3 linked regions of the Diceros bicornis minor genome follow. The protein of the gene in region 1 purifies or fractionates together with the protein of each later gene. This does not show direct contact. Links are inferred from orthologs where the notes say so. Each region holds a gene or a part of one and is shown in the gene's direction. Other genes may lie near its edges. The genes, in order: TBC1D15, UBXN8 and UBAC2.

The links.
Region 2: the proteins of TBC1D15 (region 1) and UBXN8 purify together in Homo sapiens (affinity purification with mass spectrometry; 3 studies listed by BioGRID and IntAct, counting the BioPlex papers as one, with this or other methods). This does not show direct contact. The link is inferred for Diceros bicornis minor from reciprocal best matches to the Homo sapiens genes TBC1D15 and UBXN8.
Region 3: the proteins of TBC1D15 (region 1) and UBAC2 purify together in Homo sapiens (affinity purification with mass spectrometry; 3 studies listed by BioGRID and IntAct, counting the BioPlex papers as one, with this or other methods). This does not show direct contact. The link is inferred for Diceros bicornis minor from reciprocal best matches to the Homo sapiens genes TBC1D15 and UBAC2.

Annotation. Positions count from the first base shown.
Region 1 is NC_080764.1:46,924,352-46,934,709, reverse strand, and holds the start of TBC1D15 (TBC1 domain family member 15), read left to right. Parts: upstream 1-5,697; 5' UTR 5,698-5,746; coding exon 5,747-5,776; intron 5,777-10,358. UniProt on the Homo sapiens protein: Acts as a GTPase activating protein for RAB7A. Does not act on RAB4, RAB5 or RAB6.
Region 2 is NC_080768.1:28,408,914-28,419,356, forward strand, and holds the start of UBXN8 (UBX domain-containing protein 8), read left to right. Parts: upstream 1-6,001; 5' UTR 6,002-6,039; coding exon 6,040-6,127; intron 6,128-10,218; coding exon 10,219-10,341; intron 10,342-10,443. UniProt on the Homo sapiens protein: Involved in endoplasmic reticulum-associated degradation (ERAD) for misfolded lumenal proteins, possibly by tethering VCP to the endoplasmic reticulum membrane. May play a role in reproduction.
Region 3 is NC_080748.1:75,200,572-75,211,264, forward strand, and holds the start of UBAC2 (ubiquitin-associated domain-containing protein 2), read left to right. Parts: upstream 1-6,240; 5' UTR 6,241-6,669; coding exon 6,670-6,700; intron 6,701-10,693. UniProt on the Homo sapiens protein: Restricts trafficking of FAF2 from the endoplasmic reticulum to lipid droplets.

The DNA of each region.
Region 1 (10,358 bases):
GCTGCCGAAGCGGAGCATGCGAACTTAACCACTATGCCACCAGGCTGGCCCTATTTTAGCTTTTTTTTTTTTTTTTTGGTGAGGAAGATCAGCCCTGAGCTAACATCTGATGCCAATCCTCCTCTTTTTTGCTGAGGAAGATCGGCCCTGGGCTAACATCCATGCCCATCTTCCTCTACTTTCTATGGGACGCTGCCACAGCATGGCTTGACAAGCAGTGTGTCTGTGCACACCTGGGATCCTAACCTGGGAAGCCCATGCTGCCGAAGTGGAGCGTGTGCACTTAACTGCTGCACCACTGGGCTGGCCCCTATTTCAGCCGTTTTTAAGTGTACAATTCAGTGGCATTAAGTACATTCACATTTTTGTGCAAACATCACCACTACCCATTTCCAGACTTTTTCATCATCCCAAACTGAAACTTAGACAATGATTCCTATTCTCCACCACCCCTCCGTGACCCTAGACCACTATTCTACTCTCTGTCTCTATGAATTTGACTGTTTTAGGTGCCTCAATAAGTAGAATCATACAATATTTGCCATTTTGTATCTGGCTTATTTCACTTGGCATAATATTTTCAAGGTTCATCCATGTTGTAGCATGTATCAGAATTTCATTTCTTTTTAAGGCTGAATAATACTCCATTTTATGTATTTTGTTTATCCACTCAGCTGTGATGGATTTTTGGGTTATTTTAACCTTTTGGCTATTGTGAATGATGTTGCTGTGAACATTGGTGTGCAAATATCTGTCTCTGCTTTAAATTCTTTTGGATATATACCTAGAAGTGAAATTGCTGGATCATATGGTAATTCTGCTTAGTTTTTTCAGGAATTGCCATACTGTTTTCCACAGTGGCTGCACCATTTCACAGTCCCACCAGGAATGCCCTCAAGATTCTCTTTTGCATTGTATCCCCTGTGTTTTTTTCCCATTTTCTAGATTCAATATGTTGCCCTCTCATAATTAACTGTCTCGTTTTGGTGTCACACAGCCTCCAGTTGCTTCCTGAGAAAGGGTGCATAAAAGATCACAATTTTTTTGAACTTGTGTGTCTGAAAATGAATTGTTTTACTTTCACACTTGATTGAGTATTTGGTTAGGTATGACATTCTAGGTTAAAAATATTTTCAAAGGCTTTACTACATTGTCTTACAGTTTCCAGTGTTTCTACTGTCAAGTTCAAAGAGATCTTTATTCTTGTCCTTTTCATATAACATGTTGGTTTTTTTCCTCTGAAAATTTTTATAACCTTCTTTCAATTTCCATTGTTCTGAAATTTCACAATTATTTCCCTTGTTGCTGGTCCTTTTCATCTACTCTGCTGGGCACTTGGTGGGCTGATTCAATTTGAAAATGCATGGCTGACAGTTCTGGGAAATTTTTTGGAATTATTTGTTTAATCATTTCCTTTCCTCAATATTCTCTGCTCTCTCTCCTTTATTTGGATATTCGATATCCTGTTCTAATGCGCTAATTTCTTAACTTTTCTCTCTTATTTCCATGGTTTTGTCTTTTTGTTTTAATTTCTGGGACATTTCCTCAGCTTATCTTCCAATCCATTTATGGATTTTTTTTCATTTGTTATCATATTTTTAATTTCTTAGGCCTCATTTTGGCTTTCTGAATATTCCTTTACATGGCCTTTTATTCTTGTTTTATGGACGCAAAATCTTCTCTCATTTCTATAAAGGTATTTTTTAGACTTAAAAAGTTTTATTCTGTTCTCTGCATTGTTTGTTTGTCTTCAATTGCTTTTTTGTTAGTTTGTTCATTTTGGTCTTTGCCTTTCAGCTTGCAAGTTTTCTTCAAATGTGGAGTGACCCATGGTTAGCTCTTCATATTTAAGAGACCAGAACCAAAAGCTGATTGGAAGTTTTAGAGATATAGGTGGAGTTTATTGATTTCTGTTCTTCACTGTAGGATGATGTGGTTGGGTCATTTCAATGGAGATCCCCAACTGTCAGTACCTATAGGTCTGATTTCTTCTGTTGTCAATTTATCCAGAGAGAAATCCTGCAGTCTCCTGGCTGTCAGCAAAGCATATGCTATCTTCATGCTACTATTTTGTATAGTTAGGCACTGAAACAAAGTTTTTAGTCTGACTGTTCAAGAGGTCAGGAAAGGTAGAGATCAATGAGTAGTGGTAAAGTTGGGGGAATCTTAATAGATGATGTGTGACGTCATCATAAATCTTGAAAGACAAATAGGTCAATCAGAAACTGAGGTGGACAGAATCAGATTGAACAGGTAATTAATCGCTGTAGTTTAGAGATGGGCGTGATCACTTTCAGCTGATAGTGTAGCACAGCTGACTAAGACACGTATCTGTAATGAAGTCTCTATTTAGCCATAAAGCAGCTCATGACTTTGGCAAATCATTAATGTCTAACAGACTCAATTTCTTCAACCGAAAAACCTGGGGAGACTATCTCTCAAGTCCCGCCTGAGTCTAAAGTTTCTTTAAGGTACTTATTAAGATTCTTTTGCATCATATGACTTTTTCAGTGATGTTCTAATTAGTGAATAACTATGTAGTTCATGGGAGTGAACTTAGAAACTATAAAACCACTCTCATGAAAACAGTAATTTAAGTTATAGGGAACTTGATGACTTTATTTACATTAAATTTATAGGCACACGGCTTTAAAAAACTTGTCCCCTTGTTATACGTAAGTGCACTATGATTTTTTTCTTTCTAATATAGTAAAAAACTAAAATATGAAACAAACTATGTTGAAATCCTGACCTAGTTCCTTCCTTTGCATATAGACAGAGAATATAACTAAAGAAGGAAAATGGTCTCTTTCCTCTTGAATGTAAAGTATAACTGTGCCATTTCTAAATGTGGAGTTGATTTAAATTAATTTGTTAAACAAACCCTTATCTAGTGTCTACTATGCATCAGGCATTTGTGCTAGGTTTGGTGGTCACAGAAATGAAAAGCACCCTCCCTGCCTTGAAAGCAGTTCAGTAAATCACCAAGTATTTTACACTATGATACCCTGGGCGTGCAGAAATGGAGCCTCTGTAATTGATGTCTGCTTTGGCTTGCTCAACAGCTACTTCCTTTTTTTCTGGAATGGTTCCGGGATTTTTCTCTGGGAAATACTCTTCCTCTCATTCCACGTACTTTGAACGGAGCTGTGGGCATATGATTCAAATCAGGCCAATCAGAACATCACATCCTTCGGGCCACGGGATTGGCTCAGGAATGGTCCCATGATGCAGGCCAAGTCAATCTGCCTCAGTCAGAAGCAATCTTGGGATGCAGCACGGCACATTCAGGGAACAGCAGATATTCGGCTATGGCTGGAGAACTGGGTCTGAGTGGGGAAAGTTGGGAGATAAAGCTAAAATGGTAGGCAGGAACAGTTTATGAAGGACCTTGTATGCTATGCTGGAGAATTTGGACTTTTTCTTCAAGAGATGGGGAGCCATTAAGGGATTTTAAGCAGGGAGTTCACAGGATCACATTTATGTTTTAGAAAGATCAATACAGCAGGGATATGAAAAATGGGTTAGGAGGTAGATGAAGTAGAAAGCAAGGGAATGAATTACAATGCCACAGTAGTTGTCCAAACCAGAGGTAATGAGAGACCTGAACCACGGAAGTGGTAGTGGGGACATGGAGGAGAGACATAGTGGGGATATCTCCCATGAGCTCTCCAGAAGACATATCAGAAAGGGGTAACATAATAGCAACCATTTCCTGGAGAAATTGCGCTCTGACTGCATTTCTAGTTCAGCAAATGCCAGTAATTTTCAGAGAACAAAAGCAAAATTTAAGTTTCATTTAAGGCTGTGCTTCTCAAAATTTAATGTGCACACAAATCACTTGGGGATCTTGTTACAGTGCAGATTTTGGTTCAGTAGTTTTGGGGTGGGACCCGAGATTCTGCATTTCTAACACACTCCCAGGTGATGCTGGTGCTACGTGTCTGCAGGCTACATTTTGAGTAGTGAAGGTTTAGGATTTTTTGAGTTGTGAGTGGGTCAAGTAACACCGTCCAGCAGGCAGTAGGTGTAGGCTCTAGAGTTTAGGAAAGAAAGAGAGACTCAGCCTGGAGCTATTTGAGAGTCATTAGCACATAGCAGGTGGTGATGCCAGAATATGAAGATAATGGCTCAGGAATGTGTTTGGAAAAAAAGTAAAAGAAGCCCAAGGATTGCCCATGGGTAGCACCAGCATTTAAGGGGCAGTTGGAGGGTGAGGCTTGAGAAGATCAGGAAGTAGCTGATGAATGTAGGATGCCAAATTTTCAATGAGAAGCCTTTAATTCCCAAACTTATACAAATACTAGCTACCATTTATTGAGTGTTCTATTCCTGACACTGTGGTAAGGGCTTCAACTTTTCTCCAGAACACTGGTGTAATAAATGTCACACTAAAAATTTTCTCTAACCACAACCCATTACTCTGAGCTGGTGGAAAATTTAATCTGGGTTATTAGGGCTTTATACACCACACCCAGGATTGTGTGAAGGTTCTAGGGGTCTTCCTCAGTCCAGTCCATTTAGGGAAGACCTTCAAGTCTTCACTCAATGCTGGTTCCCACTAATACAGTCATTTCCCAGCTCATTTATCCCTTGCAGGTGAACTGCTTTGCTGATTCAATGTCAAGTTCAGGCCTGCGGTCTTGGCCATGGTTGGGATCTCTCACGCCTAGTGCGCAGCTTCCCTAACGGTGCTACACATTCATTCCCATCTAAGGTCCTGCCACCTCTCTCACCCGTGACGTTCCCAATATTCACAGAACATGCAACCCTTTTTTTCTGTTATTCTCTTTGGTTGCCACTTAACCAACCTCAGAAGCCTCTAATCTCTCTCCACTCTGTGATGAGAGAAGTACCTCAATGGGCACAGGTGTTGGGGTACAAAAGGGACTTTTATTTTGCCCTGGGGCAAGGAAAGTCCCAGATCTTGTGCCAGAGCTAGGGTTGTATCCAACCATTCTCTGACATTCTTTTACAGCGCTGAGAACAAAGCAAGGTAATATCTTGATATCTCAACAAATCATCTAACCTCACATCATTGTCCCATAAGATCACTACAACCACTCTATGGGTAATTCTCATTTTACGTCCTGAAAGCTTGCGTGAATTTAAACTTGTTTTCAGCCACACAGTTATTAAGTAACTGCAAGAGCTATGAGCTAGGCAGCGAGGGCGTGGTATTATCAGTTCCTGCCAAAACACCACGCTGAGGGTCACGTGTGAGGGGCACTCAGCGAGTGACAGACGGGAAAGGTCTCTGCGCGTTTGTGCCTCTGATGGAGGGCTGGGATTCCCTAAATCTTCACCGCGGCCCCACGATCCCAATTCTACAGAGGAGAACCAGGCTGAAGGTGGAAGTGATTTGCCTGTGGCCGCAAAGCCAGGACCAGGTTTGCTAGCTCCTAATACGGTGTTTCCCTCATGCTGAACTGAAGCGGCCTGCCAACAACAAATCTCGCCCCCTGGCAAGCCCCAGGGCAAACACACGCCAACTCAGGCGGGGCCCGCCTAGGAAAAATAAATTGGCACACGCGCAGTATGCGTCAGAGCCTCTACCCCAGAGGCCTCCGAGCCCACTCAGCACGCATGCGCCAGGCCCTCCTCCCGCCCCGCCCCTTCCCTGGCGCCTTCCCGCCACTGCCCGCCCCGTTCCCGCCCGGATGTCAGCTCAGTTTCACCGGATGTTGTTGTGAGTCCAACAGACACGTGAGGCGCTGCTACGTCATCACAGGCACGCGCAGGAAACATGGCGGCAGCGGGTGTTGTGAGCGGGAAGGTGAGTAACGGCCCAGGGCCACCTCTGCTTTTCCCTGGGATGGGGGTGCTTTTGCTGCTTGGAGGCCGCGGCGGGGGCCTTTCCGTATCAGGAGCAGCCTGCGGCGGATGCGGGAGAAGAGGACTTGGTGGGGTCAGCCGTTCTCCCGGGGGCGCCGGCTCGGCCCGAGGGTAGAGAGCCGGCTCCTGCGCCCCCAGCCGGCCTCGGCGCGGGCCTGGCCGCCCTGCGCGGGGCGGTGGCTGCTGCTGTGCTGAGACCTTTCCTGAGGGCGAGTGGTGGCTTAGCTCTTTTCTTTTTCTGGCTCACCGTTTCTGACTCGAGTTATTTTGTCTGCTCTTCGGACTCCTTCGTCTTTTCCCTGTTCCTTTGAGGGTAATCTAACTTGCCCTGCCTTCCTCTGCTTCCCTCTGATGAGGGTTGAAAACAGGTGCTCCGCAGTTGTGCGCTTAGAAGAGTGTGTTGGAGCCATGTGGCCAGACTGCCGAGTCGGTTGTTGGTTGTTAGCAGGAGGGCATGTTTCCACTCAGGGAGTTGGAGATTTACACCATCCCACGCGTGTCTAGGAAGCGTTAGTTAAGGTACTTATTTCCTAAATGTTTCTCTGATGTTCCTGCGGCAGTGTCTGTGGTGCTGTCTTACGGAAGTGGGCAGTGATCCCCCTTCCGGTTCGCTAGGAACTAGGATTAGGGGCGGAGGAGGTTTCGTTGTACAGTGCCTGTTACCCTTCCGAGGGCACATCTTAATGCCCGTTGTCTAGGACTGTCGTGACATGCCACTGGTAGCATTTCCCATTGCGGGAGTACTTCCTAAACAGTGGCGTCTGGTAATGACTCATTCAACGCTAAGGACTATTTCCTTGTCGTAGTACTCCCTCTATTCCTTGAGTTGCACTTATTTTCTCCATACTCCTCTCCCTATCCCGTTTTGAATTATTTGACATCGTTTTGTGGTTTGGTGTATAGACCACTAGACTAGGCGGCAAAATAACAGTTGGTCTTTGTGTTGCTGTGAGTCTGACATGTAACCTTGGGAAATTGAGAAGCATGACTTCTTTGTCCTTCATATTCTTTATCTCCAGAATGGAGGGGATGCCAGTCATTATGTCTTGGATTTGAGTTGTTACGATTACATGAAATAATAAAAGCATCAAAAAAAGATTACATACTTCTACATGCTCGGTATTTGAAATAATAGGTTGGTCATCGTTTTGGGGTTATTCACGCTCTTTGGTTGTCTTGTCAGTTTTGGTGTTGAGAGTGGATGCTGATTGTCTGCTTGACTCACTACATATTTGAAGGTTATCCTGTTTGATATTCCATCTTGACTGATCCAATCCATGTCTTTGCAAGAATGGATCCTTTCCATTTGAACTACACTTCCCATTTTCAGATGTGGGTTGATTTTGAAAGAACTCTTAAGGTGATGACACAGAGTTGTGAAATGTAAGACTTCTTTCACCCTTTGCTTCAAGCCACTACCTTTCATAATCTGACTTAAAATTAGTCTTTTATTTCATAACTCTGCTTCATCACCTCATTTATTCTCACTAATTGCAAATTCACAACCATTTCTATCACTCCATGTAAACTATTTTTCCATGCCAAAAGCTGTCCTTCTTCCAGACAATACTATCATGAACACCAAAACCTACTTATTCTTCCCTCTGTAAGTTCAGATCTAGTTTAATGGCCTCATCATTCATTTGGTTGCTTGTAAAACAAATTTAGAGACGTGCGTTTCTATAATAACATCTAATCAATAACCAGGTCCTACCAGTTTAACCTTAAAGAGTTTTCTTAAATTTGCAGCATCCTCTTTAATGCTTAGTTTATTCAGGCCTTTAGTCAGCCTCTAATCTTGAGTTCTTGGCTGATTTTTCCCCTTGTCTCCAGTCTCTGCCCACAGTCCTCTCTACACCACCACTAGTTATTTTTTTAATGCATAAATCTGATTGTCTCTTGCTTTGAAAAAACAAACAAAAAATCTTTATATTATTACTCTTACCATGGAAATAATATTCGGGGCTGGTTAACATGACATAAAAAGCCATGTTACCTTTCTGGCTTTATCCTCTGCTTCCCGGCTTCCCAGTCTTATTTCTTTGGGAATGGGGAACAGGGAAGAATCTATATATTTCAGAGTGTGTCTGTATTTATTTATTTCCCCCCTAAAGGTTCAGCTAAGACCTGTCTAGTTTAGAAATGTAGGGCAGTGGATGTTAACCAAGGCTCACAAGGATCATATGTGGTACTTTTAAAAAATACTGATGCTGGGCCACAACCCAGCTCTGTTGAATTAGAATCTCTTTCTCACTGTTAAGATCTAGGATTTAGGGTAATTTTTCTAGTAAGTCTTCTTTGCTTACTTTGAACTCTGAGTGTAGGAAGTGATGGAAGGAGGAAGTTAATCTCTGTCATAGGGAGAAGCAGGGAAAGATTTAAGAGCTTGGACTCTGGAGCTAAACTGGTTTCAAAAACTAACTTGACACTTACTAGTGACTTCAGTCAAATTACTTAACCTATCTGTGCTTCAGTCTCCTTATCTGTAATGTGGGGATGATTATAATACCTACTTCATGGGATTGTTGGGAGGATTAATAAGTAAATATATTAGAACAAAGCCTGGCACATAACAGATGCTGTGTAGGTGTTATTCATCATCTTAAATTCCATGCAAATCATTCGTTGGGTATGGCAGAATTTTCAAGATTTAGAATGCAGTTTTTAGTATGGGTGTGAAATTTATTTTTGAGGTTGCTTCTAGTTTTAATTCTCATTGTTATTTTAAGAATTGAAAAATGCCTTGTTTTAGAAGTCATGCAGTTGTTTGTTTTTTTTTGCAGGGAAAGATTTGTCCTGAGCTAACATCTGTTGGCAGTCTTCCTAGTTGTAAGTCCTTCTAGGTCTTCTGTGTGAGCCGCTGCTACAGCATGGCAACTGACAGATGGGTGGTGTGGTTCTGTGACCGGGCAACAAACCGGGGCCACCAAGCTGGCTAGAAGTCATGTAGTTTTGATGACTGCAAAATCATCACAATAGGGCAGTGGTTAAGGAGATGGAGCCTCATTGCCCGGGTTCAAACCCTAGCTCTGCTTCTTTATAACTGTGTTACTTCTGACAGATTTCTTAATGTCCCCATGCTCCAATTTTCTCATTTGTAAAATAGGGGATGATGATTATATTTCCATCATGGAGTTGTAGAAAGGATTAAATGAGTTAATATTTGCAAAGTTTAGAATAGTGCCTTGTGTCAAGTAAGTGCTCAATAAATGTTAGCTGTTATTATTACTGTTGTTGAGGAAGGTCTTTCAGACTGTCTTAAGATTTAAGGTTATGATTCGTTTGGAAATAGTTGGATGTTTATTTTTGCTGCCTTTTTCCACAAAGAGATTAAGGCTGCCCACAAATATAAAAGCAGTATAGTCATGTAAAATGAATTAGGGGGAAAAAGGAAGCAAACGGAAAGTAAATAAAGGTAGGAAAGGTAGAAGGAATTGGAAGTACAATTATTAAATAAACTGTATGCTTTAGTGAGCTACGGTTTGGCTCTAAGTTTTCTAGCAGCCAAAGTAAAGAGGGGAACTTGATCAATTATAAGCATTATAGGATCCACGGGAAAGTAAAACCAAAAGCAGAAACCCAAAAGACTAGTTTCTGAAGATTACATCAAAGAGTAAAGTCCTGTAGTTTCTTTATAGTGTATAATATAGTGAATCTGATTATGTGGCATATTGTATCCTTCTGATAAAAAAAAGTACCCTATAATGCCCCTTAGTATGCTGATGGTTTTATGCCAGTGGGTAGTTCAGTAGTTCAGTAAATACGGGGTACCAATTTGATATATTCAGTTCTCTGATGCTTTGACTAAATTCAGGGGTAGATTTTTGTTGACATGTGTGATGGACTCAGTTTTGCATGTATATTGTTTTTTTAGCTGAGCTTTTGAAAGTGAGTTTGAGTTTGATTATAAACCTTAATTAGTTCTTAGAGTTCAGCTGTTCTTTGTTGCTATATATGTGTAGAACCATATGTTTTCATACTCAATCAAACAGGGGAAAGAGTGACATCCTCTTGTGAATACTGGGGGAGAAATAGGGACACTGCCTGTAAAGGCCATTCTACTTTTTCTCTAACGGGTGAACAGAGTTGAGTTAATAGAATGAGTTGAATTTACCAATTAGAGAAGGTGGGAGAGAGGAGGTTTTAGCCTTATACCCAGTGCCCCTGATAATGGTTACAGTTTACTTTCATTCACTTATTCAACAAATATTTATTAGGCATCTAGTTTTTTCCAGGTGCTGTATTAGGCATTGGGGATACATTAAATAGCCCTTTACCTTGAAGTGTGTAGACTTCATTTCTTCAGAAGGAAAACATGCACCAACAATCACCCCTTTACCTTGACTGAATAAGAAATGCAATATGAGTTTCAAGTCCTTGAAGTGGGTGATATTTTTAGTGATTGTGTTCTGAAGACCTGTAGACTGACTCATCATTGTGAGGTCAGGGCCTGAAATGTTTCACCTGCATCTAGCATAGGTTCTGGCACATAGTTGATATTCAGTGAAGAGGAATGAGCAAAA
Region 2 (10,443 bases), on another chromosome or scaffold:
CACACACACACACACACACACACACACACACACACACACAGGGAATAGGTAAGTTACAGACTGAGAGAAATAGTCACAAAACTTAGATCTGACTGGTATTGAAACTGAGGATGAAGGAGTTAAAATTTCCCTGGATTAGGGTGAAACTGTGCCTGTACCCACAAGGTTAACGTGGGAAACAGAGTAACCAAAGTTTCTGAGCTTGACTTGCAGAAGAGCAGAAGGGCTGCTGCTAAGACAGGAACTTGCTGGCAGCTCCCCGCCTGACTAAGCATCTCACTGACTAAGCATCTCACTGGAGCACTGAGAAGCTACAATGACTGATTGTAAACTTTAGCCACATGCTGCTCCTCCCCTACGTAAAGCCCCAAATAAAAACCCTTGCTTGTAGCTTTTCGAGGAGTTCGGGATTACAGCATTAGCTGCCCATTCTCCTTGCTCAGCGCTTTGCAATAAAATTCCTACTTTCTTAGACTACACCCATTGTCAGAGGTTGGCTTGCTGCGTGACAGGTGAGCAAACTCACTTCAGGTTTGATATCAGTATCAAGGCTCCTACAACTCATTAATGCGAAAGAGAAACAACACAATTAAAAAGATTTGAATAGACACTTTGAAAAGGAAGATAAATAAATGGTCAATAAGCACACAAAAAAGTCCTCAATGTCATTAGTCACCAGGGAAACACAAATTAAAGCTACTATGAGAAATCACTACATATCCACCAGAATAGCTAAAATGAAATATAGTGACAATACCAAATGTGGGCAAGGATGTGGAGAAACTGAATCACTCATACATTGCTGGTGGGAATATAAGATGATATAGCCACTCTGAAAAATAAATATGGCATTTTCTTACAAAACTAAAGGTGTGTTTAGCAGATGACTCAGCAATTGCACTCTTGGGCATTTTATCCTAGTTAAATGAAGTTAAGTTAAATGAAAACTTAAGTTCACACAAGGACTTGTAGAGCCAGCCCTGGTGGTCTAATGGTTAAGATTCAGTGCTCTCACTGCTGAAGCCTGGGTTCATTTCCCGGTCATGGAACCACACCACCCATCTGTCAGTTGTCATCCTGTGGCTCACATAGAGAACTAAACTAACAACTAGGATACACAACCATGCACTGAAGCTTTAAAAAAAAACGTATAAACAAATGTTCATCACAGCTTTATTCATAATAGCGAAACCTGATGTCCTTCACAGGTGAATGGTTAGTCTAACTATGATACATTCATACCAAGGAATATTATCCAGCATTAAAAAGGAATGAATACTGATATACACAACTTGTTTGGATCTCAAGGAGACTATACTGAGTAAAAAAAAAGCCAATCTCAAAAGGTTACATGCTGTATGATCCCACTTACATAATATTCTTGAAATGACAAAATTAAATAGATAGAGAACAGATTAGTGGTTGCCTGGGGTTTGGTGGTGGTGAAGGACAGAAAGTGAGGCGACCATGGCTATAAAAGGGTAGAACGAGAGGCTCTTGTGATGGAACTCTTCTGTACCTTGACTGGTAATGGTCACTCAAATCAACCCAGGTGATACTATTGCATAGAACTAAATACACACATACAAATGAATATAAGTAAACAGGTAAAATCTGAATAAGTTTGGTGGATTGTGTCAATATGAATTTTCTGTTTATGATATTGTACTTTGGTCATGCTCAAATTTACCATTGGGGGAAACTGGGTAAAAAATGTATGTGATCTTTCTGTCATATTTCTTATAACTCTATGTGAACCTATAATTATCTCAAAATAAAAGTTTAAAAAAATGCTGTGTGAACAAAATCAAATCCAAAGGGTAGATTTTGTATAATTCCTTTTATATAGAAGTCCTAGAAGAGGCAAAGCTAATCAAAGTAAACAATGGTTACCTTCTGGGCAAAGTTTTGTATTTTGATAGTGAAATGTGTTGCACTAGTGTATGCTGTTAGAAAAACAAGACAACAGGCCCAAAATGGAGTCACTTATGCTAAGCCCCGTGTCATCAAACCGAGACAATACAGTTTCAGCTCTCCCAGAAATGGAACCACCTGATCAGCACTAGTTAGGTAATCTGTCTGATAGACCCCTGCCATCGCCTAAAGGAAAGTAATCGTGCAATAACCAACCCGCTTTTTGGGCTAATATAACTTCCTTGTTCCTGCTCCCTTCTGGCTATAAAAGTCTTTCATTTGTACAGCTCCACAAAGCTCCTTTCTATCTGCTAGATTGGATGCTGCCTGATTTGAACTGATTTTTGCTCAAATAAACTTTTAACACTTTTAATATGCCTCAGTTTATCTTTCAACAATGCTTATATTGGAACTCAAGGAATGGTACAGTTAAGATGTGTATTTCATTGTGGTTAATGATATGCATGCTGAAGTATGCATATCGTAAGAAGTATGCATATGCATATGATATAGTTAATGATATGCATGCTGAAGTATTTGGGAGAAGTGTACTAATGTCTGCAGCTTTGTAATCCATCAAAAAAAGATAGATTGATGAATGGATAGATTGATAGATATGTGATTAAATATAATAAAATATGGTGGGTATATGGATACCCACTGTAAAATTTTTTCAACTTTTATGTCTGAAAAATTTCATAATAAAATATTGACAAAAATTAACTAGTTGATTTTTTTAAATGCAAAAATTCCAAATGTTAGGTCACAAAAGCAGCTTGGATACACTTAATACTTACAATTGAGGCTACATTTTAATAAACATTTGCCCCTCCCCAACCAAATATGATTATAAGTAATTTTAAAATGTGTTGACAATCCTATTTTTTTACACATAAAGAAAACAGGTTGCATCACTTGTTAAATAAGAAAAATGTGACATTTGTGTTTTAAGAATGTTAATAGGGGGCCGGCCCTGTGGCGTAGCAGTTAAGTGCGCGCACTCCACTGCTGGCGGCCCAGGTTCGGATGCCCATCACGCACTGATGCACCGCTTGTCAGGCCATGCTGTGGCGGCATCCCACATAAAGTGGAGGAAGATCAGCACGGATGTTAGCTCAGGGCCAGTCTTCCTCAGCAAAAAAAGAGGGGGATTGGCAGATGTTAGCACAGGGCTGATCTTCCTCACACACACACAAAAAAGAATGTTAATAGAGAATGGTTTAATATAAACTATCTAGATATAAAAACCCCTGTCTTATACCGTACTCAACGGTGTTCATAAGATTTTATTGTGAGAACTGAGACATCTGTAGCCCATAGCTTAATTAGCACTGCTAAGAACTAAGACCTTACATCAGTCAACATGACTTGACTATTTGTTCCAGAAAAATTCTTGCCCACAAAGATAGGCTGTAAATCAGTACATAATTTCACTGTTAGCTTTAGAAACTCCCTGAAAATCCATTTATTTGAACAATAGGTTGCTCATCTGGGTAAAAAGCTTCCCTCTCAGAGACTGAGAAATTGCATTGATCACTCAACTGGACAAATCCCCTTCCTTATCAAAAAAGGGGGCAAATCTGCCTTCAAGTCTCTCATCTTGCTGGGTGCACCAGTCCTAAACTACTAGACCATGCACCATATCCAATCCCAATGAGATCCCTGCATGGAAAAGGCCACCTTAAACTACTCCAATCTAGACTCCAAAAACCCTATAAAAATCACCCTTGACCACCCCTGTGAAACACGACTAAGATTATCTCAAAATAGTGTTCTCCCTAAATGCAGTAAGTGAGAAACTTGGTTTTACTCTGTGAAAAATAATAAACAGAAACCTCATTTAAAATGGAGTGAGGATGGTGCCAGCCCAGTGGCATAGTGGTTAAGTTCCTGTGCTCTGCTTCAGTGGCCCAGGGTTCACCGGTTCAGATCCCAGGTGTGGACCTACACACTGCTCATCAAGCCATGCTGTGGTGGCATCCTATATATAAAGTAGAGGAAGATTGGCACAGATGTTAGTTCAGGGCCACTCTTCCTCAAGCAAAAAGAGGAAGATTGGCAATAGAAGTTAGTTTAGGGCCAATCTTCCTCACCAATGAATGAATGAATGAATGAATGAATGAATAAATAAATAAATAAAATGGATCAAGGAAAGCTCTCACACATTTACGACTCATCATCAGTACAGACCCCAACAGGAAGATAGGTACCTTGCATCTCCTGCAGGAAGTGATACTACTCTACTCTACTAGAAGGAGGAAGGAAGATTCTCTCCTTGCCCAGCAACAGCTCAGCCAATGAGAGATTGTCACGACTCAGCCAATCAAAAGCCACCTTCTCCTCTATAATAGAATGTTCCTCTCCTTTGTTCTCCAGACTTGCTTGTGGTTCACTGTAGATTGCCCAGCTAGAATTGCAATTCTTTGCTGTTCCATAATAAACCCACTTTTGCTGGTAAAATAACTGACTTATTTTTAAGGTCAACAACTCAGAACAGGTTATTCTAGTGATCTTTTGGGAGGAGTGAGCAGTACACAATTGCAGTGAAGAGATTTCACCATCAACAAAGTTTGGGAAATGTGTAAGACTCCAAGCAAATCTAGAGTACTTGGGAGTCTCCACTTTATTGTTCTGACAGAGATTTCACTGGTGCCATTGACAGATTAAATTAGGAATATAGAAAGCCAGAGAGGAAGAAATACCTAAAGGAGGAAATCATACCAACATGAGGACAGTGAGAGCTGTAGAACTTCCTTTCTTTCCTGTGTTCATGCAGGCAACAAATGAGAACCTCTGAATGAGTCAACATAGCTAATTATTTAATTGGTATGTCATATTATAATTTATATTACTTCATCCCGATTGATTTTGAGATTGTGCCCTCATATTTTGCACCTTCACTCCCAGAATAAAGTTCTTAGCCTATATACAAAGCACAGTCTTCTGTCGTGCTAGCTCCAACCTACTTCTGGGGGCCTCCATTCAAACTTTAAACTGCAATATTTGAACGGCTGGTAGTTCCTCTGCATTGTTTCCTAAACTTAAAATCCCACTCTTCCTATTGTCCTCTCCCCCCACCCCCCTTCCTCACCTCTACAACACCATTTAGGCATGATTTCCTTTGGGAAAGCCTTCCGCCATGTCCTCAGGGTAGGATTGGGTAGCACCCTGTGCGTATCCCTGTCATAGCACTCAGACACTGTATTTATCTGTTTACAGGGCTGTCTTTCCCACTAAACTGAGTTTCCTGAGGACAAATTCAGTAACTCACACGTACTTGAATCTCCATGAGTTCTGCAGTACCAGGCAAATTGTGAGGCTCAATAAATGTTAGTTGAACTAAATTGAAGCATGAGGTGGGAGGATTGAAGGATGGGTCAGAAAACAAGATTTCAAAGCATGAAATCTTATAAATTGCGAGGACTTCCGTAGCTTAATTGAGTTGCGGGTTGGCAGAAGCGCCATAGAGGTGAGTCAGGGGATGGCAATGACGTCACAGAATAACACCTGTTGGCAAAACTGACAAGGAGCGGAGCAAGGGGTGGCGGGTCTCCAGGATCTGGAACTGGGTGCCAGGGCTCACTTTTGAATCGTCTTCCCACAGGAACCAGAGACCCTGGAAGGGGCCAGGAACCGTGAGGGAGATAAGGTGCTTCAGAAGAGTGGTGCTTAGTAGATCGGACCCCAAAGCCCACAATCACCCTCTACGGACACAAGGCCAAGAGGCCAGGCTGCCTCCTCACAGCGTCAACTGCCCGTACACTTTCTCTTCCAGTTCATTTTACTCTTGAGAGCTTTCGCACAGCCTCCAACAGTCTCACGGCCGAAGGGGCAGGCGCTGCCGGCCTTGCCTCAGGGAGCCGCCTCGCTAGAGCCCGCGCTTCGCTGTCAGAGGACTGGGCCAGGCGGGCGCCAGTGGGGCCGTCTCCCCTGGACACCATGTGACGTGTGCTTCTTCTGACATAAGGCTGTGGATGAGTTCACAAACAGGCAGGGCCGACCAACGACCCAACCTCAGGGTCGGTCTCCACATTCCTCCCTCAGGAAGGGTTCCACTCCACCGTCCAAGGGAAGGTGCCACCGGAAGAGGCGGGCTTTCCGCCCGGGGGCGGGGCTCCCGCCACCATGGCGTTTCGGGGGGTTGTTGGTGTTGTTCTCCTCTCTGCTCTCCCGCTCTTGTGTCTGGAGCTGCGGCGTGGGATCCCGGATCTCGGTAAGTGTTGGCTTTCTCCTCTTGGCGCTCAGCATCGAGTAACTGTCCGATGACGGTTGCGAGGAATTGCCGTCTCCCAGCCGCGTCGCCTCTGGGCGGCTGTGACTACGATTCCCAGGCTGCGTCGCGCTGTCTCCCTCTGCCGGCTTCCGGGTCCCTCCGGGAGCGAGTCTCCCGCAGCCTCGCGGAGGCCGACTCCACTCGGCGGAGAAAGTGTGCCTCCTGACCTGGTGAAGTGTTGCGTGTAAGGGGACAGAGGCAGAAAGCGGAGGAACAAACATAGCCACTACTTGTGTTGAGAGCTCAAAAGGAAACCAACAGAGTGATGTGATGTAGGCCTTCTGAGGAATTTAAGCAAAGATTCAAATGATGAAAAAGAGCCACCCCTTTGAAAAGCGGGATGGGGAGGGGGACATGACAGACAAAAGGAATTATGACATGTTGGAGGAAAAAGATGAAGACCGTTGTGACTGGACCAAGGAGATTTAGAGGGAGAGTGGCTCAAGATAATAACATTCATTGAGCACCTATTATAAGCCAAACTCTTAAGTGCTGTTTATTCATTATCTCATCTAATCTGCGTTACAACCATCGGGGTGGGTACTGTTATAATCCCCATTTTACAGTTGAGGAAGCTGAGACATAGGGAGGTGAAGTGACTTACCTAAGGTTTAAAGAGGTCACCGGAATGGGTGTGGAGAATGTTTTGGAAGGAAGCTATAGTGGAAGCAATGAGGCAAGTTAGGCTTTGAAGTAGGCAAGTAATGATGATGGCTAGACTAGGATGATATCAGAGGAGATGAAATGTGCACAGGTTTGGGATATTTACAAAGTAGAATCAACAGGATTTTTTGATGGATTAATGTTTGGGGTGAGGGAAAAGAGGCATTCAAGGATGACTCCTACATGTGGGGTTGAACAACCCTAAGTAGTTGGTAGTGCCAGTGATAAGGGGAAAACTAAAGGAAAATGGTGGACCTGTGGAGAATCAGTTCGTTATTGGACATACTAGGGATCAGTTTACATGTTTGTCTCCCTCATTGAGCTCAGTTCTCAAGTTAGAGACCATGATGAAACTTAGTTTTGTATATTTCCTCTCTTTCTCTCTCCACCTCCCTCCCCACACCCAAGAAGTCAGGTACCCAGAAATGTTGCTTGAAATAAGAAACTAAAATAAAATGCTTTTTAAAAAATCTACAAAGACCCTCCAGAAGCCTCCTACTTACTCAAGCTGTATTGGAATCTAACAAGACCTTTATCCAAATGATATACAGAAATGTTAATTTCACACTTATTCCAGAATTTACCTGCTCTCCTGCCTTTATGGCATCCACCCTTACTCTGCTCATCGAGAATCTTCTACTTTGCACTAATATTTGAGTCACTAGTCAATGAGAAGGTGGTTACTGAAGGTTGAGGAAGGAGATCTGTTACCACGATCAGCTCTGACCACAGGGAAATACGCTTCTTGAGAGCAGAGACCACATCTAGTTTGTTTTTGTATTCCCATCACTTATCACAATGTTTAATTTAATAAAAGTAGGCCAAAAATTCTAGAAAATGGAACTGGGCTCCTGGCAGCATCTCCATCTAGTTCCTGAAATTTTCACTTAGTTAACTCCTTTCTCCTAGAATTGTCTCTCAGTTGTAACTGGTGGTTATTTACTGTGGTTTCTTGATGTTGGTGCTGCAAATATCTGGTAACAGTATTTAAGTCTATTTTACAAATCATACATTCCAGTGCAACAGCTGCAGGGCTAGTTTTGTGTGGAACAGTATTTATAGATACTAATATTCTCAGCTAGAGCTGCTAATTGAATTCCCAGAGGGGAAAATGGAATTCCCAGACCTGTTCTTTCACCTGGGCTGTGTTTTTGGACATATATTGAAAAATAATCGCTATATTTTTCTGCTGTGTAAAAGCCTTCATTGCCAATACATTTTTACTCGTACTTAAGCTAAATATTTTAATGCTGGTTCCTCAACATTTGTTATCCTTTGAAGAACCCTGCACGTGGGCTCTTGAGAATAGGTACAAAAAAAAACTTAAGGGGCCGGCCCAGTGGCATAGCAGTTAAGTTCACGCGCTCTGCTTCGGCGGCCCGGGGTTCACAGGTTCGGATCTTGGGTGCGCACCAATGCACCGCTTGTCAAGCCATGCTGTGGCGGCCTCCTCTATAAAGTAGAGGAGGATGGACATGGATGTTAGCCCAGGGCCAGTCTTCCTCAGCAAAAAAGAGGAGGATTGGCAACGGATGTTAGCTCAGGGCTAATCTTCCTCTCACACACACACACACACACACAAGTCAACTTAAAAATTTTTTACAGTCATGCATTGCTTAACGGCAGGGATACGTTCTGAGAAATGTGTCGTTAGGCGATTTTGTTGTTGTGCCAACATCACAGAGTGTACTTACACAAACCTAGGTGGTATAGCCTCTACACATCTAGGCTATATGGTACTAGTCTTATGGGACTACTGTCATATATGTGATCGGTTGTTGACCAAAACATCGTATGCAGCACATGACTGTATTTGAAAGGTGTACACACAAATCTAGTTCTTTTATATTCCCATCTGACATTTGCAAATTGCTTGTTTGTTAGAACAAAAAGCAATATTATGGAACATGAATCCCATAACTCAATGGTTTCTCTAAATACCAGTACTCCAGGTATTAAAATTACCTTTGTAATGGCCAGAGTAACTCTAGATTTAATTGTGTTGTATTGAACAACACCTGAATCAGTAGTTAATGCTGGCAAAAATTAGAGGGGCTGTAACACAAAAAAAACATCATTCCTTCTCTTTTTGTTGTTAGTGCCGTCGAATCGATTCTGACTCCTAGTAAGTCTATACAGCAGAGCTGAACCCTGTCCTGTCTTTTTGCACCATCCTCTCACCTTCCGGCACTGTATCAGACAATGCTCCGCTGCTATCCTTAGGGTTTTCATGGCCATGGGTGGCCAGATCCTTCTTCCTAGTCTGTCTTAGTCTGGAAGCTCCGCGGAAACCTGTCCACCATGGGTGACCCTGCTGGTATTTGAAATCCCAGTGGCATAGCTTTCAGCATCACAGCAACACACAGCCACCACAGTATGGCAAATGACAGATGGGTGAGGTGGTTCCCTGACCAGGAAACGAACCCAGGCTAAAGTGGTGAGAGGACCAGTCTTAACCACTAGACCACCAGGGCTGGCATTTCTTCTCTAAACAACTTTAAATTGCTTTAAAAAAAGGATAGCATACTTATCAGTTTTCAGTTAAAAATGAAATATTTAAGTCTGTATATATAATTCCTTCTTTAATTTTTAGTTAATTGACTAAGTACCAGCCCCAATCACATTGGTAAGATGGTTCCTGTGCACCTCTGCCTCGTAACTTTTGAGAATTACAAAGCAAGAGTAAAAATTCCTGATAGAAACCATTTTTAATTGAACTTGTATATCCCCTCCTTCACCATTTAGCAAATTGTATTGCACAAAGCAGGTACTTGTTACGTTTTTGCTGATTTAATTTTCATCTTTGTTCTTAATATAAAACCAAATACTGAATTTTTACTTTTTTCCTAGGCAAACATGTATATAGTAATTTTACTTACAAATGACCAAATAAATATTGAGAAATAGAGAAGTATACAGTTGCATAATTTAACTGTGAGAAGTAAGAATTTAGTGTTTCAGTGGGAATGACTGTTTTTAAATAGAATTAGAATTTGACAAGATGATACCGTCACAATTTAATTCCTAATTATGTGGATAATTTTATTTCCTTATCTGGGCAGAAGGGAAACCAGAATTTATGCATTATTGACAGTCATAATATTTATAATGTAGCCAGGCACTTGAATTTTATCTATGTACGTGAGACAGAAGATGTTCTAGAATTTCTGAAAACTTGTTCTGGTAATGACAACCAAGATGAATTTTGGCACCCAAAGGAGCCTATATGAAAAATAGTAATACAGTTGCATGACTCAACTTTTAACTGTACTTTTCTAGTACAAATAATCTTCTAATGTGTTTATTATTAGTATCAAGAAGAGTGTTTTGAATTTTAATTGTAATTTTTATTTTTTTACCTTTATCAGGAATTAAAGATCTAATTTTGCTGTGTGGCCGGATTTTCTTACTGCTTGCTCTTCTTACTTTAATTATTTCTCTGACTACCTCATGGCTTAACTCATTTAAATCTTCCCCAGTTTATCTGAAAGGTAAGTTTATTGTTTATGCTACCCTTTTATACTTTCCTACTGAAATTTCTTTCCTTTTTTTATTCTAGAACTTTGCACAATAAGAACCATTTTACCATTAGT
Region 3 (10,693 bases), on another chromosome or scaffold:
TCTAGAGAAATGACGTGGCGGACTTCTAAGCTGGGTACTGGAGGAAGACTGAAAAAAAAAAAAAGGCAAACCAACCTCTTCACTTCCCTAAAAAAACCCCACATCATAATTTCCATATGTCATTTTCTTAGCATAGCTTTTTTACCAGCATGCTATGAACACCATAGCAGGAGGGCGCAGGCGAATCTGTCAGCACCCTCTCCTATCCCCTGAGCCTTAACCGTGTCAGAGCATGCTTCCCGACAGCAGCTCTTAGCCTGAGGGCTTGCCCTGCCCGCTACAGCCTCTGCCCACTCGTGTGAGGGCCCGAAGTGCTGGGGAACTGCACCTTTAGGGGTAGCCCTCAGTGACTGATGGGCGGCAGTGGATAGACACCCTGGCTGCCTCCCTCTCCGGGGGAATGACCCCGTGGCGCTGGCTCCAGCTGTCCAGTGCTGATTTGTCTGATAATTCACCTCCATCAGCTTCCATCCTTCCCTGCCCTGTCTCGCTTCCCGTTCTCCCAGTGGTCTTTCCTAGGACCGTTCCCAGACAAACTTCAAACTTTGAACTTGAAACTTTGTCTCAGAGTCCGCTTTGGGGGAGACCCAAACTAAAACAGTTGGTGATAGTCTGAAATATTTTTAAAAATTTGATTGATGAAATTTAATGAAGTTCTAATTCTGCTAAAAGAAATCTCAAATGTTCTGTTACATTTTGTTGCTTTTACAGGAACTGCTCCAGTGCACTGAAACCTTCTTCACCTAAATATGCGGTTGAAAATCCTATAATAAATATCGTGGCTCCCATTTTAAAGAAGGGCAAATGAAAGTCTTAGCGGAATCAAAAACTTCTTATAACTAGATTCTTTTGTCCCCCAAATCATTTTTTAGCTCAATTAACACTTCCTGCAAACACTGGCTAATATGTTGCATCATTTTCAAGTGGATTAATCACCTAATCCGATATCATAAATCCATACTGATCTTTAGATCTAATCCTTATGTTTTTAAATAGAACCAAAGTTAGCAATATAATCCCAAACCAGTATCCTTAGACTGAGTTATATCTGCTACAGATAATGGAATTGCGAAAATTCTGGGCAAGAAATCTTCTCTTATGGACATTGAGGGTATAATGCAAAGTGAAATAAGTCAGAGGGAGAAGGTCAAATACCGTATGATTTCCTTCATTAAGTAGTAGATAATAACAACAATAAACAAACACATAGGGACAGAGATTGGATTGGTGGTTACCAGAAGGGAAGGGGGGAGGGAGGAGGGTGACAGGGCTAATTCGGTACATGTGTGTGGTGATCGGTTGTAATTAGTATTTTGGTGGTGAACATGATGTAATCTATGCAGAAATAGAAGTACAATGATGTACACCTGAAATTTTTAGAATGTCATAAACCAACGTTACTGCAATAAACAAAAAATTAAAAAAAAAAACCAAAAAAAAAATCTTCTCTTAAAATGATGTAAATTTGTTGAAAAATCTCATGACAGTTCCTTCCTCTTTAGTAATATCAATCTCATTTCCTTGCAGTTTGACTTCATTTAACATTTCTGATACATATGAAATATATGTCAAATCATTTCATAATATTTTGATACCATTATTTAATTTTTCATTGTTGAAAGAAAGAAAAACTGCACATTAGTGTTAAAGAATAAATAAAATATTTTAAAACAATTTTGTTTGGAATACCATCTTCTTTCCATATGTAGGATAAGACAAACTCTTTTCACAGTCATTGCAAAGACTACAAAATAATCTCTTATTCAAGGCACTAATTTTATTACTAGCACTGATAACATTCATTGATTTGCGGGTCTTTCACTAAGATTTTTGGTGACTGAGGTCATGGATGAAAAACTCAATAACCTGCTAACACGGCTGTTGCTACTTTTAAGTTGTTTACAAATCCCTGTTACAAGCTGACCACAGTGGCTGCTCCATCTGGTGCACAATGACGTTGGAAAAGGAAAAAGGTTTTCTTTTGAAATAGTTTTTAAGAACTTCAAATATTGACAACTCTTAGTATCCATTGTTTGTATATATGGAAATGAATTTTCTGCTCAATGTTTTTATTTCCCTGAAGCTTACATCTGTGGTCAGCAAAGCCTGAAACATACATATGATAATATATGTTATCATACAGGTTACTTGCATTCACTTGCAGCAAACATTTTCCCAACTTTAGATCATTTCATAGCCCATTTTCTACCTCTTTGTATTCCTCATAGATCCTTCTACATAAAACATTATTGCTCAACAGAATAGAAGAAATCATTTAAATTTCTTACTCTCATAATAATAACCTCTTATACAGACGATAAAATTAACTTTTTTCCTATATTGTTTGGATTAACAAACATTGCTATCATTTGTGCTATTCTATAAGAAATGGTACCTTATGTCCTTTAGATTAGATTAAAAAAAATTTCAGAGACAATACTATGTTTTCAAACTTTCCTTAAATCGCTGAAGTTTCTATCTTTGCCAACTCTGTCTATCTTTATAAGGTATTCACTTAATCTTGGTGGGTTCATCTAGATGAATTAGAAAAAAACTATGTCAATATGGACTCTTTCATATATTCAACTGAATATTCTCAATACCTTTTCTTAATATTTAAAATTACATGTATTTTTTAAAATAAGGGCTAAATTTGTACATCTTTGTGAAAGATAAAAAATCACTAAGAATGCACCAGCCATAAATGTAAACTGATACTGGTGACTCAAATGCAATGAACAGGGTCGTTGTAGGTGGTGTGGTGTTTTGAATTAGTGAACAGCTCTTCATTAAGTTCCAAATAACAGCCAAAACAGTATAAGTTGCTTTCCTGGAAAATTCAGCATGAATTAAAACTCTGCAAAGAACACATGTTTACATGTAAAATGAAATTGGTCCTAGACTCAAATAAATACAAACACGCTTTTACTTACCTAAGAAGCATGAAGTGGGAGAGTCAAAAGTTAGTTAGGAAAGAGAACAATTTGTTTTTTTGTGAAAAGATCGTGTCTGGCATCGCCACACCCCATGTGGCATCTCCCAATTCATTGTGACCATCGAAAATACCCTTATGAATTTTCAAAATGCTCCCTGCGCAGTAAACATCTATTATGAATCACGAGAAAGATGTAACTACTCTTTAAAAAGCTTCCAGACCTATTTTCTCATAAATATTAATTTCATAGATATTATATACTGAAAGTTCGTTTGAAGCAGTATGAAGGCTACTTTATCCAAGGATTGACCATCAGTCCTAGTCAATATCTACTAATTCCTCCCAAAGGTTGCTGACTAGAATCCCTGGGAATTTAGAAAGGGACTCCCCTGCCAGAATATGGAATAGGATATGGCCCAGCAGTTCCAGTCACAGTAGCTGTCATCTGTTCAGAACTTGATACTTTAGAAGTTTGTGATTCTTATTTTTGTTGCTGTTGTTGGCCCCCTCTACTATTTAGTAATCTTTAGGAAAACTTTCAGTCTATCTCTGCTATATGAAAGGAACGCTATGCTAAAGGCAGGGTGAAATACACGGGAAGGGGCACTTATCAGGGATGTTTTGTCAGCAACTTTCCCCCAGGACTCACCTGCAGATTTTCTTTCTGATGTTAAATACCTTAGAGATGCTGTGTTTTAATTTATTAAAGGAAGACAATGACTTCACACCAAGAGACTCAAACTGGGTAGGATACAACACTTTGTAAAACACATTCCTGCCTGGTAGGGCTCACCCTTTCAAGCTTATCACTATTACCCCAGTGTAGAAAGCAGATTCAACATGACTTAGTAAGTTCAACAAGACTTAGTAAGGCAAACAGTGATTCCTAGTAATTGACACAATGAGTTTCCCATAATACAATCTAGAGAAGAGACAGGTGGAAGCATAGGCAAGGACAATAGAAATGATATACACTAAGAGTCTGGGACTGCATGATAAAGATTGGATGAATTACACTAGTGTAGGGTTTCTCAATCTCTGTACTACTGACATTTTGGGCAAGAGAATTCTTTATTGTGGGAGGCTGCCCTGTGTATGGTAGAATGTTTAGCAGCATCCCTGGCCTCTGCCTGTCAGATGCCAGTAGCGACTCCTCTCCCAATTGTAACACCAAAAATGTCTCCAGGTATTAACAAGTGTCCCCTGGAGGCCCAAATGGCCCCCTGTTGAGAACCAATAGAGCTTCTCAGACTTTAATGTGCATACAAGTCACCTGGGGTCTTATTAAATGTTGCTTTAACAGGTTTGGGGTAGGGCCTGGAACTCTAGTCCAAACAAGATCCTAGGTGAGGCTGACGCTGCCCATCCAACAGCAACACTTGCTTCTTGGAAGACAAACCCACAGACTTCTACAGTCAACATGTACAGGTCCTCAGTGCAGAGCAGATGTACATTCAAGGTATGGGTCACTGAAAATACTTTTAAGCAAGGTCGACATCCCATATTAAGTTATCAGGCATTTAGTTGTAAAGAATGTTTGTAGAATTGAACATAAATAAGTGAAGGGTTTGTTTTTGTCTTTGTTTTTTTAAGCTTCAGAGTGCTTTATCTCCTATTTCAGCAGTTCTCAAACTTTTTGGTCTTGGGATCCCTTAACACTCTTAAAAATAATTGAGAACTGCAAAAGCTTTTGTTAATGTGGGTTTATATCTATCTGTATTTACCATATTAGAAATTAAAATTGAGAAATTAAAAAAAATTATGAAATTCATTTAAAAATAACAGTAACATACCCACTACATGTTAACATAATGAACGTATTTTTATGAAAAATCACCGTGCTTTCCCAGGCAAAAAATTATGGGGAAAAATAGCATTATTTCACATTTTTGCAAACGTCTTGAACGTCTGACTGGATCCTCAGATCTGCCTCTGCTTTCGGTTTGTTGTGATACACTGTTCTTGTTGAAGTATATGAAGAAAATCCATCCTCGCACAGATATGTAGTTGGTAAAGGAAGCATTTAATAGTCTTTTCAGGTAATATGGCTGTTCTTTTTTGACACTACACCATAACTTAAGAAGTGGTAGTTCCTTAAAGATTAGTTGCAATGAGGACTCTGAAACCATATCAATGAACTTTTTGTACTGTTACACTAAAACTTGTTGGTTTATCTTACAGTTTGAATTGATCTTTTCTACTCATGCATGATTTTGTAACATCACGCTTTGGTCAACTGGAAAGTATTGGTTCACTAAGTTATGCAACCCTTCCAACTGTACAGTGGAAAACGCCACTGTATACTCTGGAGTGAATAAGAGTAAAAAAGACAAATAATGTCTTATTATCATTATGAAAATAAATTGGCCTTTTGGATTCCCTAAATGGGTGGGAGGTCCCACACCTACTTTGAGAACCACTGTTCACAGGTTTTGTAGCCAACCAACAGCTTCTGCAAACATAAACGACATTTAAAGTATCAAAGGACCTTTAAAGTATCGTTTCATTGCAAAATGACTCAGTTGAATGAATCTAACGTTAAATGTAAAATGTCTTTCAAGATCATAAACTTTACGAGTAAAGAAAAGCCTACAGAAAATAAAAGGCACATATACTCTTGTCTTGTAGAAATGATCAGTGTTAATAATTCTGCCCACTGGCACCCCTTCTTAAGGGCAGAGACTGTGTTCTACTGATCGACAAACTCCAGATTTAGCACAGTGCCTGGCCCTTAAAAGCACTCAAAACGTCTTTTTTTAAAAAAAGTATGCTGTCCATAATTTTGTAGCCTGTCCTTTTCATTTAGCCTTGTAGTTGTTCAACTTCCCCATAATACGTATTCTTTAACGACTGCGTAACATAAAACGTAAAGTTTTCAGGCTCAAACTCATTTAAAAAATCATGACTTTGCTTTTAGCAAATAGTAATTTCATTTCTCAAAGGGGAAAACATAAATGGCCCGGGCGCAGAAGTTTGGGGAGCAGGGTCGCTCCCCACAGACTCGCCACGCCTGGGACCCCCGACACCGCAGTGAGGAGGGGTTGGGGTCCCGGAACCATGACTCTCGGCGCTTTTTGTGGGGATTCCGCGTGGGACCAACATGGGAAAACGGGGCAGCTGGACCACCCCACTCTCCGCGACGGGGAGGGTCGCCCAGCTCTGGCTCCCCTTTCATCCCCACAGCGGCTTCTCGCCCTTGACTGGACACCGGAACTCGAGACAGTTTATCAACAATCTGCTGGGGAGCGAGCTCCCGGGGACGGCCCAGAAAGACTGAGCATGCGTGGAAGGCGCCGGGCATCCCGTCCGGGGAGAGGTTAGAAGTCGTGAGGAATGTCCCCGCGCCGGCATTCCAGAGGAATCCGCTGCCATCGCGGCTGCACAGGGCGTGTGGGGGGCGTTCAGCACCAGTGTGCGCCTCACGGGAGTTACACCCCCGCTCCTCCCACGCCGTGCCATTCTTTTTCCCGAGGGCACCCGCGGCCGTCGGGAAAACCTGGAGAGGCGGACTCTTCCCGCTGTGGACGCACCTCCCTCTCCCGGCAGGAAGGGAGCCGCGGACAGAGCCCTGTGCCCCACGGGCCGCGCATGCGCCGTTCACAGGCGGCCTCTGGAATGGAATAGAGTCTCCGGATTCGCCGTCCCGCCGGCTGTGCGCCTGCGCAGTCGCCAGGTCCCTCCACCTCCGCTTCCCCTCCCCTGTCCCCCCACGGGGCTCCGGGTCCGGCGGGACCATGTTCACCAGCACCGGCTCCAGTGGGTTTTGTGAGTACCGGCCACCGCCATCCTGGCTGTCCCCTACACGCCACCCTGCGCACCTCCTTGAGGAGGCTGGGGGCGGCGGGGACTCTCGGGGTTACAGGAGGATTTGGGGGCGATGCTCCATCCTCGCTCCCGAGCCTTGGTGGTTCCTGCCCGTCAGGGGCAGCAGGCACCGCCCCCACCTCAGCCTGGAGGGGCCAGGGGGGACTGAGTCCCGCCGCCAGCCCCGGCCCCCACCTATGAGCCCCAGGTGCGATGCTCAGGTGCTCCAGTGGACTGGGCAGTTAGGGCCGGGCTGGGTGCCCTGGTGTTCTGACCCGGCCCCTTGCCCTCGGCGGCGCGTGTGCCAGGCGGAAAAGAGAGGCTGTCCCGGTGGAGGCGATGCTGGACGCCTGCCCCCTGCTCTTGCTCCCTTACTCCATTCATTTAGGCTACAGAGGACCGAGCTGGCTCTCCCCCAGATGCAAGTCCCGACCCCTGCTTCAGGAGCTGACCCCTCAGTTTTACTTAGATTTCTTTCTTTCTCAGGCCCACTTAAGAGTTTTTAGACAAAGAAAGACTGATTAAGGTACTTTAAAGTGGAAGGAAGTTGTTTGGCAAGAAAGTGGGGACGTTGCTGCTATGATGTTTTACTTGAGTGTCAGCGGTGGTCAGCAGATAGAGGGCAGAGAAGTATTATAGCCTTTTAAACAGCTTTATTTTTCTCATTGAAATTGTTTGGCTTTTGGTGAGGTGACTGTGTGTTAACTAACCAGCAGTGAGATGAGGCACTGACACAGCAACAGTGGACTGTTTGAACAGCTCTGATTTTGCAATTGCTTGTCACTGTTAGTACTTCATATCTCTATACATGTGAAGTTAACCTTGCCCAAGTACAGAAGCAGTTGACATTTCCAAATATTAAAGATCTGTTGTGAATGTTAGTAACCTTTTTCTGAGAATACATGTCTTCGTCTCAGAGTGAGTTAGTATAGATCCATAGGCATAATTTTAAATCTTCCTCATTTCTCAACTTCCCGGGTTTTGAAGTGGGTTTACTATTCATGATTTCCCTTGTTTCATAATTAATTTGATTTATGGCATCTTTCAAGCGTTGGCCTCAGAGTAGGTTACAACTACTAGCTAATTAGTCTTCCCCAAACTACCCTTTGGATAAAGAACATTATAACTGCTGAAACTGATGTCAAGAAGGTGGTGTGGTTTTCCTGGGATCACACAGTGAAGCATTTGCTGGTGGATATGGAATTAATGGTGGAATCCTTCAGTTTAAGTTGGTCTTTCAGCATTTTGAGCTATCCTTCCTTGCTGACCAACATACATAAGTTACAAAGGCAAGAGAAATCTGTTATTGGTTACTATGCCGTTATTTGCCGTTATATTGGCAAAGGTTATTCAAATTTGAGACAGGGTGACTCTGGGGAAGGTAATACTTTATTCCCTATGGCACAGGGTGGATGAATATTGAAATCTAGGAACCAAACTGCTGCCCAGGGAGAGGGCCTGGGCCAAGAGCTCCTCCTCAGCTGTTTTGCCCTGTTTCTAAAGTGTATCTGCAGCATAAGAGTTGATGGGATGACCAGCCCTCAGAAGGCCGTGTCTTATGTGCCCATTTAACAGACATTTTGAGCATCAATTGAGCATCTGTGCTAGGTGCTGGGAGCACAATGTTGAACAAGTCTTGGTCCAGTGTTTACAGTGCTTATGGTGGAGTTTAGGCACAGTTTTCCCTGGACTGGTCTTTTGGTAAGTCTAGGGGTGAGCAGTTATCTTGTTTTAAAATTTTCTTTGCAAGGCTACGCACTGAGAGGGAAGTGATTTCCTTTAGATAAGAAGTGTGGCTCTTTAGTAAGTCAAAGTTCTGGTCCTGAGTAAGTCTTCTGAGGAAGAATAATTCTGCCTACCTCTGCCCACGTGAATGGTGAATGACATTGTCTTTTCGAGGGAAAAATCTCTGCCATTTCCTACCACCTGCGTATTTCCCACAGTTCGTGACTGGTAGATAATGGTGTTTTAGTGTTGCACTCTGCTTTCCTCTCTCTCTCATTCATTTATTCATTCAACAAGTGTCTGTTGAGTACCCATATAAGCCACACACTGTTCGTGTACAGAGGATAAAGTGGTAAACAGGAAAAAGGAGATCAACATCAAATAAGTTAACAGATAATGTGATTTCACATAGTGATAAGTGTTATGAAGAGAATAAGAGGGTGGTGACATAGACTGAGGTTGTGGTGGACCACTGCCATTGTAGTCAGGGAAGATATCTGAGAAGGTGACATTTGAGCTGAGATCCAAATGGTGTGAAGGAGGCAGGGATGTCAGAGTTTGTTGAAAAATGTGCATTTTGCAGAAATGGAACAGCAAGCACAAAGACTCTGAAACAGGCACAGCAGGGCGTCTTCAAAGTTCTAAAGAAAGCTGGTGTCATAAATCAAGGGAAGAGCATTTGTGACCATGTGTTTGAAACTGTCTTGCGGTCTGCCCAGTCATGCGATTGTGACTGGATAAAAGTGCAAAGGAATCATGTTCAAGACTTATTTTAGATTCCTTGCTTATAGACCAGTGCTACCAGTGCTAGCTATGTGTTGAATAATAGATGTATATTTATTACATTTGTTAGTAGGTGTTCCCAATACTTGTTCACTTCACAATATATTCACTGTGTAACGATGGACGCAACCAAGCAACCAACAATAATTGCATGTCTAATGTATTACAGGTATAGTTCCCACCCTAAGGAGTTCAGTGTCTAGAGGGGAAAATTTTTTTTTTTTGTGAGGAAGACCAGCCCTGAGCTAACATCTGCCAATCCCCCTCTTTTTGCTGAGGAAGACTGGCCCTGGGCTAACGTCCATGCCCATCTTCCTCTATTTTATATGGGACGCCGCCACAGCATGGCTCGACAAGCAGTGTGTTGGTGCGTGCCTGGGATCCGAACCGGCAAACCCCGGGCCACTGCAGTGGAGTGTGTGCACGTAACTGCTTGTGCCACTGGGCCGGCCCCTAGAGGGGAAAATTTTTAAAAAGAAATTAAACAACTTCTGTACTTGGTGCCATGGGTTTATTGAAGGGGGTGGGCTAGTGGGGGTAGAGTCACAGTTGTTAAAGACCTTTCAATGTAGGTGATGTTTGAGTGGATGTTTGAGTGATAAGAGTTTGTCAGACATGCAAGTGGAGAGAGAGCCTCTGTCAAGGACAGAGCCTAGGCGGGGCCTGGCAGAGAGGCAGGAGGTAATGACTTAGAGGATTGTTGATGATGGCTGGAGTGAGCAGTTCCTAAGAGATGTGCAATGAAGTCATTCAGAGGGCAGGTGAGAGGAGAACTGGGGACAGAACCTGAAGAGGGAGAAGAGGAGGAGCCTGAAAGGAAGACTGAGGAGTGGCCAAGGCTCCTCCTCCTCAGGAGTACAGACTGGAATGAATGATAGAGCAAATTCCTGAGATGCAGCAGGTGATGATCTAGAGCACAAATCGGGAATGCTTCACCTTTCCCTGGGAGGGAAGATGGGAGATTATTGTTGGTGATGAGAGCAGTGTTTTCCAAATGCTGCCTGCATCCTGGCAGAAAATCAACCATGCAGCTTTCTGAATGTCCAGATTCCTGGCTGCCATGCCCAGAGAGTCAGATTCAGAAGGGCTAATGTAGGCATCAGAAGTCTGAATTTTAAGAGCATCCCTAGGAGATTCTAATGGACAGACAGATTTAGATCAAGGCAAGACGGTGGCCAGCAGAGTGGCAGAGAGAACAGAGTCTAGCGAGGAGATGCTGAAGGCCCTGATTAGGGTAGTAGCAGTGAGAATGGAAAGGATAGAGAAGAAAGATTCTAAAGATGTGTAAGCAGGTAGGTGGTGTCAATAAAGCTTATTGGATTGTGAGGGAGAAAGAGGAGTTGAAGGTGACTCTGGGTAGACAGATGGTGTTACCATTCACTAAGATAGGGAATGCAGAGAAGGAGCTCATTTTGGGGGAAGACGAGTTCAATTTTGGACATGTTT